2 linked regions of the Daphnia pulex genome follow. The protein of the gene in region 1 interacts with the protein of each later gene in a pairwise test. Links are inferred from orthologs where the notes say so. Each region holds a gene or a part of one and is shown on either strand. Other genes may lie near its edges.

Evidence for each region. The genes of interacting proteins can lie anywhere in the genome.
Region 2: the proteins of myosin-VIIa-like (region 1) and cadherin-99C-like interact in binary tests that used the Drosophila melanogaster proteins (3 or more experiments, as listed by UniProt). The link is inferred for Daphnia pulex from reciprocal best matches to the Drosophila melanogaster genes ck and Cad99C.

Annotation. Positions count from the first base shown.
Region 1 is NC_060022.1:1,965,471-1,972,151, reverse strand, and holds the start of myosin-VIIa-like, read right to left. Parts: upstream 4,149-6,681; 5' UTR 3,938-4,148; coding exon 3,893-3,937; intron 3,527-3,892; coding exon 3,413-3,526; intron 3,149-3,412; coding exon 3,002-3,148; intron 2,929-3,001; coding exon 2,744-2,928; intron 2,596-2,743; coding exon 2,474-2,595; intron 2,413-2,473; coding exon 2,156-2,412; intron 2,071-2,155; coding exon 1,905-2,070; intron 1,817-1,904; coding exon 1,686-1,816; intron 1,627-1,685; coding exon 1,442-1,626; intron 1,373-1,441; coding exon 1,162-1,372; intron 1,081-1,161; coding exon 700-1,080; intron 620-699; coding exon 464-619; intron 388-463; coding exon 1-387. UniProt on the Drosophila melanogaster protein: Myosins are actin-based motor molecules with ATPase activity. Unconventional myosins serve in intracellular movements: can function in cells as a single-molecule cargo transporter.
Region 2 is NC_060025.1:3,448,335-3,455,162, forward strand, and holds the start of cadherin-99C-like, read right to left. Parts: upstream 4,402-6,828; 5' UTR 4,081-4,401; coding exon 4,046-4,080; intron 3,289-4,045; coding exon 3,224-3,288; intron 3,141-3,223; coding exon 3,078-3,140; intron 2,973-3,077; coding exon 2,791-2,972; intron 2,734-2,790; coding exon 2,611-2,733; intron 2,038-2,610; coding exon 1,762-2,037; intron 1,686-1,761; coding exon 1,533-1,685; intron 1,443-1,532; coding exon 1,221-1,442; intron 1,139-1,220; coding exon 938-1,138; intron 836-937; coding exon 698-835; intron 586-697; coding exon 439-585; intron 332-438; coding exon 167-331; intron 83-166; coding exon 1-82. UniProt on the Drosophila melanogaster protein: Cadherin that functions in epithelial morphogenesis and the intestine epithelial immune response. Essential for female fertility. Regulates the length and organization of apical microvilli in developing follicle cells and salivary glands.

The DNA.
Region 1 (6,681 bases):
CAAATAGCCGCGGCAACGGGCCTGCAGGCCGACAATGTGGCCGCGCAAGTGCTGGAAGCGATGAGACAGGATTCGAGAGCGGATGAGAGCCTGCAGCCGCAGGAATCCGCTACGCATTTCCAGGTAGCGCTTGCGTTGGGCCTGACGTCTCCACTGGCGTTGAATGACTACAGCGGCGCTCCTGAGGCGAACGTAGCGACGTCTATGAATCCATCCGCGGATGCAACGCTGGATGATGACCAATTTCTTGGTTAGGACTCGATCGCGCTCCTGTTCCAGGAACAGATCCTGGGCATCCTTGAGAAAAACTTTGGTCTGACCCAGTTGGTAGTCCGTCTTTCCCAGTGTGGCCGAACAGATCCTGGCCGTCGCTTGCCTACAGTCCACCTGCAATTACAAATCGATTCATTTTAAAAACATCTGCAATGATAATTAAAATTATTTCATTATTTCAAATCGTTACTCTGTGAGGTGGTGGGCATCCAGAAATGAGGAATCGGTAACGTTCGACAAATTCGCGGAATGTGTGGCGAATAGGATAGCCGGCCCGCCGGATACGAATCGTTTCCATCATTCCCGAGTAGCGCAGTTGACGACAGCATAATTCACGATCGAAAACCTGAATTTACCGGAATGTTATTTTTAATATGTGTCAATTGAATTAATTGTTTTAATGAAAAAAATTTTTTTTTATTGTACCATCGATTGTTTCAGCTCGTTGGGTTTAATACAACGCACGAAAAATGGCTGACAAGCGCTGAGAGTCCGCATGAGCGAGTCGAGCGATTTTTTGAACTGGGCCGACAGAGTGGGCGCCTTTTTGCGGGTCTCCGAGCCCATGGAAATGTCTTCGGCGAAAAGCGTTCGCAGAAACTTGTTGGACGTCACGTGGACCAACTGCATCAGATCGGCGCTGAACGAATCTCGATTCTTGTCCAGAAATCCTCTGGCGTCGTAAAACACGACTCCGGCGAAATGATTGAAACCGAACGAGGCCTGCAGATCGGAACGAGGTTTCACGTAGTTCCTGTTGCTGCCGTGAGTCTTGTTCAACTTGGCCAACATGGTCTGGTCCGTGCCCTGGAAAAAAAAACACGAATTATATATAAACCCAATTATTAAACGAAAGACAATTATTTGAAATTAACCGAGTAATACTACCTTTGGGAATTTGGATTCTTCATCGATAAGTGCCATGATGTTCATCTGTTTAATTGCGATTAAATCAAGCGAGTCTTGATTGTCGACGAATTCGATGTGCTGCCAGCTGATATTCTCCTGATTGTATTCCTCTTGTTCCAACTTGAAAATGTGTCGGACGAAGAATTGCTGCAGATTCTCGTTGGCGTAGTTGATGCAAAACTGTTCGAAACTTTATTCGATCCAAAAACACAAATTAGATTCCGCCATTTCAACTAGTGTCCAGTCAATTCTTTAATACCTGTTGATGCTGAAATTTTCGAAACCAAAAATGTCCAGGACTCCGATGGAGCTCGTGTCCATTTCGTCGGATTTGCGGATGGCACAGTTCAACTTGGTAACAATCCAGATGAAGAGTCGCCCGTAAATACCTTTAGCAAAAGCATCTCGAACATCTACAGCTTGCACTTTGGATAACCTCGATACCTGCAAATACAATTCAATTATCTCTGTCAAATGGGAATTCAATTTCAATATTAACTGACCACTGAATCTCCCTGGGCGAAAATGGTTTTAGTGGTAAGGGCGTCAACCATCTCTCGAGGATCAACACCCAGCAACTTGGAGACGCGAATAGCGTTGGAAGGATCTGGAATTTCACTAGCGTCCATATTGCCTGGACAAAGGGAAGAATGGCGAGAATGTTTCCAACGTTAATATTTTGTTTACCGAGTCGTGAACAAAATGTTAAATGAACTTCTTACTGATGACAACTCCTTTGAAGGAAACGTTTCCCAGGTGCAAAAGAGCGGCCAGAACTCGAAGAATGTCGGAAATTTCCGGCTCAGTAAAGAGCAGGACTTTCATGGCCGATCGGATTTCGGCAAATTCATTGGCGTCGTTCCTTCCCTGGCACGTCGTGCTGTTGCCCTGTAACATGTTAAAAAACCCAATTTTGAATAACGCATTCCACTATATAACAAATACAATGGGAATAAATTGAACTTGTATATACCCCAGTGAGGTATTTGTATTGGCTGGCATCCTGCAAATCGAATTTCTGCTTGTCTTCTTTGGTCATGCCGGCCAGCATGCAATAAAAGATGTGGTAGTTCCTCTCGCCAGGATTCTGGGCCACAATGCGCGATTTCTCCAGCAGGTACTGCTCGATATTGGCTCCTTCGATTGTGCCGTGTTTGTTGAAGCTGATGTCGATGTACTTGCCGAAACGAGACGAGTTGTCATTCCGCACAGTTTTGGCGTTTCCGAAGGCTAATTAACCAAATCAAATGACGTCATTTCATACTTTAAGGGGAATTATTTTAATAAATACCTTCCAAGATGGGATTAGCTTCAAGGATTTGCTGCTCGATCCACGAATGTTTCCCGCTAATGGCCGCCAGGTATTGCAAAATCAATTTGGTACTTTCAGTTTTACCAGCGCCAGACTCACCGCTGATAACGCAATAAGAAAAGAAATAAATGATTAATCTCGGGTAACCCAGGTGTGCGCTGAGAATTGAGAACATCAAGAAACAACCAAGACGAAATGGAATTTCGACCGTAATTTTATGTAATCTATTAAACAATGTACAAGTCTCACCTGATAACGATGCACTGATCCTGTCGAAAGCGTTTCATTTGAGAGTAGCAATTATCGCCGATGGCGAAAATGTGCGGAGGCAATTCGCCGATTTTCCGCTCCCTGTACATTTTAATTTGCTCGGCCGTGTAAATGGGCAGAATCTGGTAGGGATTGACGGCCACCAGAATCGAACCGGTGTAAGTCTGTTACCAAAAAATCAAATCAACAATTGATCATCTCATAAAAATAAATCAATGAAATGAGTCTATGACGTACGTATATGATGCTTTCATTGTAGCGAATGTGCAGATTGCGCAAGATACCAGCCTCGTGCAAATCACCCAGTGAAATCATATCCTGGACGCCCTGAATGGACGTCGGATGCATGGCTTTGATGCGTCGTTCCGGCGTCAGCCATTGTTCCTGCGCAATTCAATTTAAAAAATGTGACACAAAATTGTGAATGACACTTTTAAGCAAATAAATACACAAGAAGGAGGAGGGGAAAACCAATTTGACGTTGTGACGTTCTAAATTGCTCTTATCTGTGTGGCTTAGATCGAGACTTGCGGTCACCAACGCATTTCGAAACGGTTTGAAACAAAAGGTGGGGTGCTGTTGCCTCACCATTTCGTGCTGACGGCTGATGGGGAAAAATAAAAGACAAAAAGGTGACATAAGACTTACTTTGCCGTCGTCGTCGACGACCTGGATCCGTTTGCCCTCGGCCGAAACGACCCGGGCCCCGATCGCCACATCGAATTCTCGTTTGGTGCTGGGCTCGATCCAGACATAGTCGCCCTAATAGAAATGAAATTAATTTCCAAATTGATTATCATATTAAACGAGCAAGTGTCACAACATTTTGTTATATTTTTCCATCGAAATTGGAACGAATCTCCACGGGGGGTGGACTTGGTTCACAAAGAAAAAAAACAGACAAAAATGAAGTTGTAACGGGATTGTGGACGAAGCAGAGCGGAGGATTGTCGTGCAATAAGAATGGGACATTGACATGATCATTGGCCCGTATGTCCACCTTCTGTTTGGCAAGGGGAAAACCGTGCTGACCTCGAAATAACAACAAAACACATGGGCACTGGGCAGTTTGGAAAGTTGGACGCGGCAACAAGTGCCCACCAGTTCTAGGGAAAATTAGGAACTCACGTAGGTAAGAATCTGAGTCGACGAGCCATCGCCTTCTTCCGACATCTTTTCTTCCAGCCGCCAACGTTAATCTCGACTTGACAAATAATGGCGACAACACAGAGAGACCATGGACGATCGTGACTTGATTGAACTACAATCAACGTATGCCCTTAATTTCCAAAATCAAAACTTTCACTCTCCCGAATAATCAGAAACTTGAGAATTCAACCGACGTCAAACCTTCAAACTCGATGCGAACAAACTGTTTGATGTGATAATGGCGAGCAGGGAGAGGCCAGCACACCGTCTTATCTCTACTTCCCAAATGATAAGGAAAAAAATGAAAATGACTCAAAGTTCACGTGATCAATTGGCATTCATTAACTGACGTCTAGTCCAAACACACATTGCGTATCACAAGGATTGGGGAAAAAATCCCCCCAACGAAAAAAACATTCCTTGTTTGATTACATTCTCTTTTATTTTTCCACTTATTGCTTGGCTACCGCCCTGAACAGTCAGCTGTTTTCTCAGTGTCCACTTCTTTTTCTTTTTCTTAGTAGATATTTGGAAACACTCGCAGAGCCCAAAAGGTATACTGTATACGTAATAATAATAAGAAAAGAACAGCAGGTGGATGGCCGCAAGAGTCTAAAGCACGTACGCCTTGCAACGAAAAGAGATTCCAACAACCGCCTTTGAATGAGTTGGCAGCCACACTGAGAGTCGCAGCTAGGGGAAAAATATATATAAAACATTAAGTTACAGCTATATACTATACTCGCTGAATAGATTCAGATTCCCTCTCTGTGTTCTTCAGCCAGCAGTTTTACCTCCGGTTCTTTTCTTTTTTTTCAGTTTTCTCGACTTTTAGTTCCGCGTCGTTGCATCTTTCAGAATACGTTGTCCTTAATCGTTAAACGTTCATTGGCGGTAGACGACACATGTGTGTAGAGACACACACACGCACTCCCTCATCTCGTGTGTGTGTGTGTGTATAGCATTAGCTGCGATATTGTTTTCCGATTCTTTTTCACGGTGGTAAATGACGATGACGACCTCCTATATACTATACACTGCGGTCGCACCATCCAAGAGAAAATACCCAGACTGTTGCCGAACCCGTTATCTCCTTCAGTACATGTTTTTGAACCTTCTTCCGTCAACTGACTTTTGTGGGTGTCTCTTCTTCTTCTTCTTCTTCTTCTTCTAGTCCATGCGCTATTACACAATATGGCCCTGGAAGAACAATATAACCAAAGAAAAGGCAACAACATCTTGGTGGTGGAGGTCTCACTTCTCTTGTGTGACTCTTGTGGTGTAACCTAAACACATAACAGCAGATGTGTGTACCGGAAAAAGAAGAAAAAAAATCATCACTGCGCGACCCAATTGCGTCACTTTTTTCTGTCTGTCTTTGTTGTTTCGTTCTGGGTTTCACAGTTGGATTTGTTTTTGTTTTTTCTCTCTCCTAAAAATGTTTTCCAACCCAAACAAAAATGTCTAACCCCCTTTCGCTTTATTAGGAATCATCAGTCGGCCGATATTTTAAAAACCGGACGTCCGCTCGCCCGCCATTCAAAACCGGAAATAAAACTTCCGTTTCGGATATATGAAAGGCGCGTTGTTGAGTTTCATCGGCTGTTTAATTTTACTGAATGTCTGGCTGCGGTCGACCAATGTATGTTACGTGTGTCGGGCGTTGGCTTTTTTTGCTGTTCATCTCTCAGTGGAGAAGAGAGCGCAGGTACACCATCACCGGGAGAGAGAGGGTCATTGACCAACAGGCAGCCAACAACAGCCGTGTGCTCAGCAGCCGCGTGATGAAGTAAATACATTTACACAAACACCCACGGCGGAGAAATGTCAATTTCAATAGCGGCCATGCCCATTATTCAACATTTCCATGACTGACATACGTTGCCTTTTCTTTCTTTCCTCCATGAACCAAGTAACAACAAGATGACTAGGAATTTTTTTAAAAAATGAATGACTTACCCGAGAAACGATGACCATTTTCTTATATTTTTTGGTAAGTCCTGGAGATTCGTGGCAATTCGTCCAAAAGTCCACACACAAGGCCGCCGTCGTCGTCGGTCGTCCGCGCGGGCCGTTATTCACCGCTGCCCGCCACTGCGGCACAGCACGCAATTATTTTCCGCCGCCTGTCAGTCCGAAAAAGAAAGAAAGAAAAAACTATACCACAAAAAATAATAACACCATCAAAAACTCTCAACGGTCAGCAGCAGCTCAAGAACGACAGAAAATACGCAATAAATCAATAATTTTGGTACGTTATTATTATGCATGGAAATGAGGACGTTTGTTATTATTATCAGGTTGACAAAAAACCAATTGACAGCCACAGAGCTCAAGGTGGAAAATGGAGTTCTCCGGGTGCTTTATATTCATGTCCAATACTGGAGGGGAGTAACACATTACAAAGGTTTCTGTCCAGTTAGGTTTCTTTCTTTTCTTTCATTTCGTCACAATTTTAGTGCGTGTTTTCCTTCTTTCCTTATTCACATTTTTTCTTTCTTTTTTAGAAATCTGGTTAGTTGTTTTCCCGGGTGTACACTCACGAGCTTTTATGAGCTCATCGTCACTTGATCGTTAAACTCACGTGACCGAGCGACCCCCCCTTGGCTTTAATCGATTATCTTTTTTAATTAAATGTCAATAAAATTATTTCCTTCTCAAATTTCTCGGCTTTTTGGTTATTTCTTCTATTTTTAACAAAAAAGAAACGACGCCACGTGTGATTTTCGTGTTTAATAGTGGACAAGAACTTGAGGTGAGGCTTGTGA
Region 2 (6,828 bases), on another chromosome or scaffold:
AAACTGGTGCTTGAATGTTCGGTCCTGGAATGATGATGACTTCCAGCAGCCCCAAAGACGATTTACCCCCTCCATCTGTTGCCTGTGTGTGGAGATGGAAAGTGATTAAATCATCAGATTTAGGGAGAAAAATTTTAGGCAAACTGCAAAGTAGTTTTAGACAAACCTGGAGAGTTAGTGTAAATTTCTCCCCAGGTTTCAGGGCTCCAGCAGAATCAATAACTCCGGTTTGCGGATTAATGACAAACTTGTTCTTTCCGTTATTCGTGACGTCCACCACAGCATATTCAATGCGGCCATTATCAGCCCAATCTTTGTCTTCGGCTTGAACCTAGTTATTTTCAAATGCAAGCAAACGAGGCGAAAGAGGCCACACGAAAAGTTGTAAAAACAATGAACACCACGTCATCTAGGAGTGAGATTGCTAACTGCACTCACCTGAGTCACCACTTTTTTCGAATCGCCCGCCTGAAGAAAGACGGGTTTAAACGATGGAAACCGTGGGGCATTATCGTTCACGTCCAAAATTCGAATCGAAATGGCAATGGGTGATGTAGTGGCTCCTCCAGCTTTTCGAGCGATCGCCTTTTTTGTCGTGAAACGTGCGAAAAGCCCAAGCACACATCGTGAATCAAAGAATACAAAAGCGATCACGATTTTATCCCACTTTCGGTTTCAATTGATGAATGGGCGTTACCTGGAAAGTCAGGGTCGATGGATTGGGTGCGTCACGATCGAGATTGGGCACAGCAACTTCCATGATTCCAACCTTGTTGACTCGGAAAGCGGCCGACGTCAGCTCGATTTCATATTGAGAAAGCGGATTCTCAGATTCCTACGTGACACCGAGGCAATAATGAAACTTGGATTACAAGAGGCCCAGCACACAATTGGCGTCGAGTTATTTCCCCCTCCCCATCGATGATGGCTATCATACCGAGTCTTCCTCGACGACTTTCAGCTGCAAAGGTTGGCCCTTTCTTCGTGCGGATATGACGGGAGTTCCCACCGGCGAATTCTCATCCACAAAACCTTCCAGGGCTTCGGCAACCAGCCGCGGTGCGAAATTGTTGTCGTTGCCCACCTCAATGCTAAGCGTGGCGCTCGAGGATCTCTTCTTTGACGTCATCTCTTCGGCCTGGAGTAAAAAATGTTTGACGTCATCCATCCGCAACTGAAATTGGCCATTAACTTGATCGAAAATTGTGACTATCGCTCACCTTGACGATCAAATCGAATTTGTTGACCACTGAGCGATTGGCCGGCTTAATCTGCTTTACCCAGCCGGAATTGGGATTGATTTCGAAGTACTCTCGGAAATTGGGCGGAGATCCCTGGCCGAAAGTGTAGCGGATCGGTGCCAGGCTTGAAGGGTCCGTGTCGAGAGCCAAAATTCGATCCGGCTTCAGCGTCAACAAACCGGACGTGACGCCACTGATGATCTTCGTGAACAAAAAAATAATAATAAAAAAAAAGACAAGAAAAATGTTAGGAGGGGCGTGACGATATAATCGATGGATGCGATCAATTACGGTCGTCGTGTAATTCGGAGTGATGCAGACGCCTCGATCGTTGAGCGGACAACCGACGTATTGGAAGGCCGGCGGCTGGTCTTCGACGTCACTGACTTTGACCGTCAAAGTGGCCGTCGACGAGAGCCGATCCTGGGCATTCAGCGCTCGATCCTGCATCGCATTAATATTCCCATCACAATCCGGTTAGAAATTATATTCAAATAATCGGAAAAATGTTTGGTCTGACCGAAGCGACGATGGTGACCAAATAGCGACGGACCGACTCGTAGTCGATGGGCTGGCGCAAAGTCAGGACGGGAATGTGGGCGGCGGGAAATTCAAACATGCCAAATCCATCGAAGGCATCCAACGCCGGATTAGTTTCATTGAAGAGGCTGACGTTTCCGCCGCTGCGCATTCGTTGCGAATTGGGCACCACTTTGTACTCCACCAGAGCGTTGATTCCGGCATCCGCATCCTTAGCCTCAATATCGCGGATGACGATCCCACCCACCGGCAGATCCTGTGCGACAATAACAAAACAAAAGAGAACAACGTTACATTCCATGTAACAAAAGATGTAGGCCAAGTTATCGATTGGCGTCTTCCATATAACGTCTCTATTATCATCTCTCCATTGTCGCTGACACGCCCAGCTGGAGAAGCTTTCTTTCTATCTCATCTTTCGACTTGAAAATGACGGTCCCTTATTGGGCCGGAAATTTGAGTGAGAGACATCAGGCAACATTAAAAGGAGAGAGAAGAGAGAAGCCCCGGCCGGAGACTATATATAACAAACAACAATGGCGAATTGATTGAATCAAAGAGTAGGTCAGTGGGCTCTCAATAGTTGTAATAGCTGTTGGAAATTATGGCGGCCAGCAGTTCACGCTCTGCTGAATTCCTCATTGTCGGGCTGCTGCTGCTGGCCGTTTCAAATGACCACCGTACAAGGGCCGGATATGGGAGGAAACACTGGCCACCGTTTCCGGTTACAACAGTCAACCCTCCTTTTTACCATTGAGTCGATCCCGTCAACAAGGCCTTTACAAACGAAATTCAACAAAATGGGAAACCCTAGAAATTGGTTTGATACCTCCGGAATGGTGACGCTGTACGAGCTGTTGAGGAAGACGGGGGCCTTGTCGTTGACATCCGAGATCCGGACAATGACGGGAATATTCCGCCGCCTGCCAGTGGCCGAATTGGTGCACGACACCTGAGTCATCAAAGTTGTCCGTGAGATAATGAATGAATTAAGTTGTTGATTCGTTACTTGGAGGATGACGGAAGAAATGTCTTGGTGATCGCGATCCAGCGGCGACGTCAATTTGAGTTCTTTTCCCAGCAGGGCAAACACGTTCGGATTGCTGGAACTGGCTATAGTCAGACTGATTTCACCGGCGGGCACGTCGCCAACAATGGGCAGCACTTTTGGCCGAGTGCTCTGATTCGTTTCTATTCGTTTGTTTTTTCCACACCAAAAATAAAAGGAAAGAAAATAACAACAACCGAAAGAGAGAAAAAAAAGCGACAGGAACTTATATAGAACTATAATATTACGTGGCCCGCGGCTCTCTTCAATGTCCAGGATGACGTTGGACTGTCCGGATTCGATGTCACAGACTGCGGAGAGTACATAACAACCAAAATTGATATCCGCAATAATAATCGACACACAATAAAACCGGATAAAACGATAAACTCACGTTCGGCGTCAATGGCGACACTCAGGCAAACCAACAACACCAGAGCAAAGACTGGGCAGCTCGTCCTAGGTCGAAAAACAAACAAATAACTGTGGATTCATTCATACTTTCGGTATAAACTCTTTCAAATGGGGTCAGATTGACCCACAGCCAACAAAGGTGAAAAAAAAAAGAGTGTTATTCGACCACCAGGGAACTTGATCCTCCTGTGGTATGACCTGGACACACCAGCACAGACCCAGGTAGACATAGACACACACACAATAATGGTGGTGGTGGGGGTACACAAGTTTCCGCATTGCCCCGTTGTGTCCTCAAAAAATAAATTCCACATTACCGAGAAATGCCGACACAACAACAACGGAAATGAAACTGCCACTATACGCTTCCGTTTCCACACGTCGCTTCCAGCCGAAAAAAATAAATAAAATTCATCATTTTTCTACAAATATCTTTTTTTTTTGGCCAATTTATTTCGGTGTGAAAAAAAAATGTGCGGGGCGCGGTTTTTTAATTGAAAAAATAAAACTTTCCAATTTCCCATTGTTTTTACGTAATGATTGGAAAATATACCGTACGACAAAAAATCTATAAATTTTAAGAGACACGAAAACGAGATCCTTGCGAAACGACATGAACTTTTCGTTTTTTTTTTTTAAGGTTTTTGTGGCCCCGTCAAGAAACCGTTAGGAAATTTCCTCCTATTGGAAAACCTGCCCCCACATACACATTCAACAATGCGGTTCCCTTCTCCATCAACTTGTTTTTCTCTAAATTTCGATAAACATTATTTTTTTCTTTTTTTTTCTTTGATTCCTTTACCTGCCGGCGCTCCTCTTGCTCGGCAACCTGTCCATCCTCGCTCCTTCACAAAATAGTTTGGCAATTTTTTTTTTCACGATAAATATTCCGATTCAAAGTTTTCTCACTGATGCAACATTCTTTTTCACTATATTGAACAACACTTGGCGGTATACACGATAGTTCACATGGCTGTTGGATGATTGATTCACGGACGACGGGTGCAAATGATTTCAACAACGAAATGAATCCCGATGGATATCGCACGCACTTAACTGGGCGATTAACTTCACTTTGTTCGCGAGTAGCGTTGAAACAAGTTGCTGCGAGTTTCGGCTGCGCATCTGTTGAATGCCAAATGGGGAATGCCGACCAGCCCGTGTTGTCTACCTGTCCTTATACACACGAACATACCTGGAGGGTCCAGGAGGAGGAGGAGGGGAGCAAATGAAAACCGAAACGAGAGACTCAAAAGGAATGGTAAGGCAGCAGCAGCAGTTATTTTTCTCTTTTTCTCCTTTTCATTCCTCTTTTCCGAGCCATTTCCCCCCTTCGTTCTTCTTCTTCTACCTACCTGACACCCACCTGTGGGCTCTACACACGTAAGAATCCGCTAGATTTCAATACTCTTCCTCTCCCTACAAGGTAGAAAAGAAAAGAAAAAAAAGGTTACATATAGTTAATCCGAATTTTCTCCTTTTAACTCGATTAATACCGTCTGGTGTGGGTCGTTACTTTCTCTCTGCCAACCAACAAAAACGAGGCCGTTCCTGTATGTAATATAATCACCCGTCCTTCAATAACGACACAATGGATGTTGTACAGTACACAACAGTATACAACATCTTATGAGATAAGAATGGCGCGATCCAGCCGGTTGTATCTCCTCCTTTTTTTCTTTTGAATTTGCCGCCTGATTTCTTTCTTTGACTATTATGGCGATGTAATACGACTACACACTCCGTCGGGATCTTTTAGAATGCTGGAGGATTTGTCGGCCTCTTTTTTGTTGTTGGGCGGAAAATGGCGTGCGGATCTATTCCGCGCTCCGCCGCACACTGACGTTATTCTCCTCCGATGATAAAAGAAGAATGGGAAAATCAAATCATTTCTTTCTCTTTTTTTTTTGTATGTGTGTGTCTATTATCTTTCTCTCTTTGCACATTGTTAAACCGTGAGCATTCGATTGTGTTCCATCTCCGGTCAGAAAAATAAAAGATGAAATAGTATTCTGGTTGTATTTTATTATTATTTAATTTTTTGACCCAGTTGGAATTGATTTGACAAAATAACCAAATGCATTCGCCATTAGCCGTGATGTTGCGTAGGGGTCCCGCCGCCCGGGGGCTTACTGAACATCTCCAGGAGAAAAAAGAAAGAATAAACGTAACATACTACACAAAATGTGTACATAACTGATGGTGGGGGCTGTGTCAGAGAGAGACGACAAGATCCCGTTGCCACACATTTCGTGATATTTGTGAGCGAAATAGAGAAGATGCGCGACAAAGAACTGGTGGAACGAGAAGAACCGGAATCCGGCCGCCCAGCAAAACATCTGCCACGACGGAATTGGAGAATCAGATGATTTCCCTCCCAACTGTTTTTCTCTTCTCCTTATCCAAAATGGAAGGCCATCATCAAACAAAAACTCTTGGCGATATTATTCTTTTTTCATTTTCTCGGTCAGAAAAAGACGACTGGTTTCGGGATGAATCCAGGTCGACTTCCGCCATCTCTGCTGCCCTCGTTCCTCTTTTATTGTTGTCCCCCCTCCTTTTTATATAAACTTAAATAACCATTCGCTGGAAGTCGCTTCATTATTTTCTTTCTTATTTAAAAATCGACATCTTACGTAATTCAATAATAAATGGAAAACAATTGAATTGTAAACGTGTGTGGGAGGCGGGATATGTTGTCTTTACAATGAACAGAAAGTTACATCACGAGGGATTCGACTAAGATGTGTGTCGCTGGTCCGCCCCGGCACATCAGTTTCCCCGAGATCCCATTCACTCGACTCCCCCGGCTGACATTTAGAAGGAAAACGCCCCCGTACCACCAAGTTTCTGACAGCGACAACAGGGAGAGACTTTGTCATCTGGGAGGTAGGGAATTCAACCCCAAAAAAATAAAATCCCTACTGCACATGCAAAGCGGAAGTGCACGTGAACGGCCGACTCGTGTTGAGCTCACAGTCGGCTGTCATACGACGGGCAACTGATCCCGGAAAAATAAACCCCAAAAAATAAAGAAGTTGCGCCCCTTGTTCGTGTAACCGGTAAAAGTTGCTGTCGGCGTATCGATCCTTCTTCTTCTTCTTTTTAGAAGTTTGACGCGAGTATATATGCGATTGATCGAAATGAATTGACGGATGTAGCACATATGCGGGATCGATCCGAGTGCAAAGTCCTCGACGAACTCTTTAATGATTTCGGTATCAATAGACCTTGTCGCTGTGTGAGATGCGATCCTGCAGTCGACACTTTTCGAACCAATTGAAATGGAACGGCAACTTTTTTGTTTGTTTTTTTCACACGCAGACTCTTCGACCTACTTGAAATTGAATTTGATCCAATCAAATTTGATTTGTGTCAAGGGTGTTTCCCGGGGGCGATTTAGAAATAACAAGATATATCTCTTATACTGTAGAGATTCTCTTGTGATATGTGGAGCATTTTCAATCGACGACTCAAAGGATCGAGCAAAAACATTTGGGGCGATGATAAACGACAGAGAAACGTGTCGCCCGTTATTGATTGGCCGTACATGGCGATTGTCCAGCCAGCCAGAAATGTATGTGT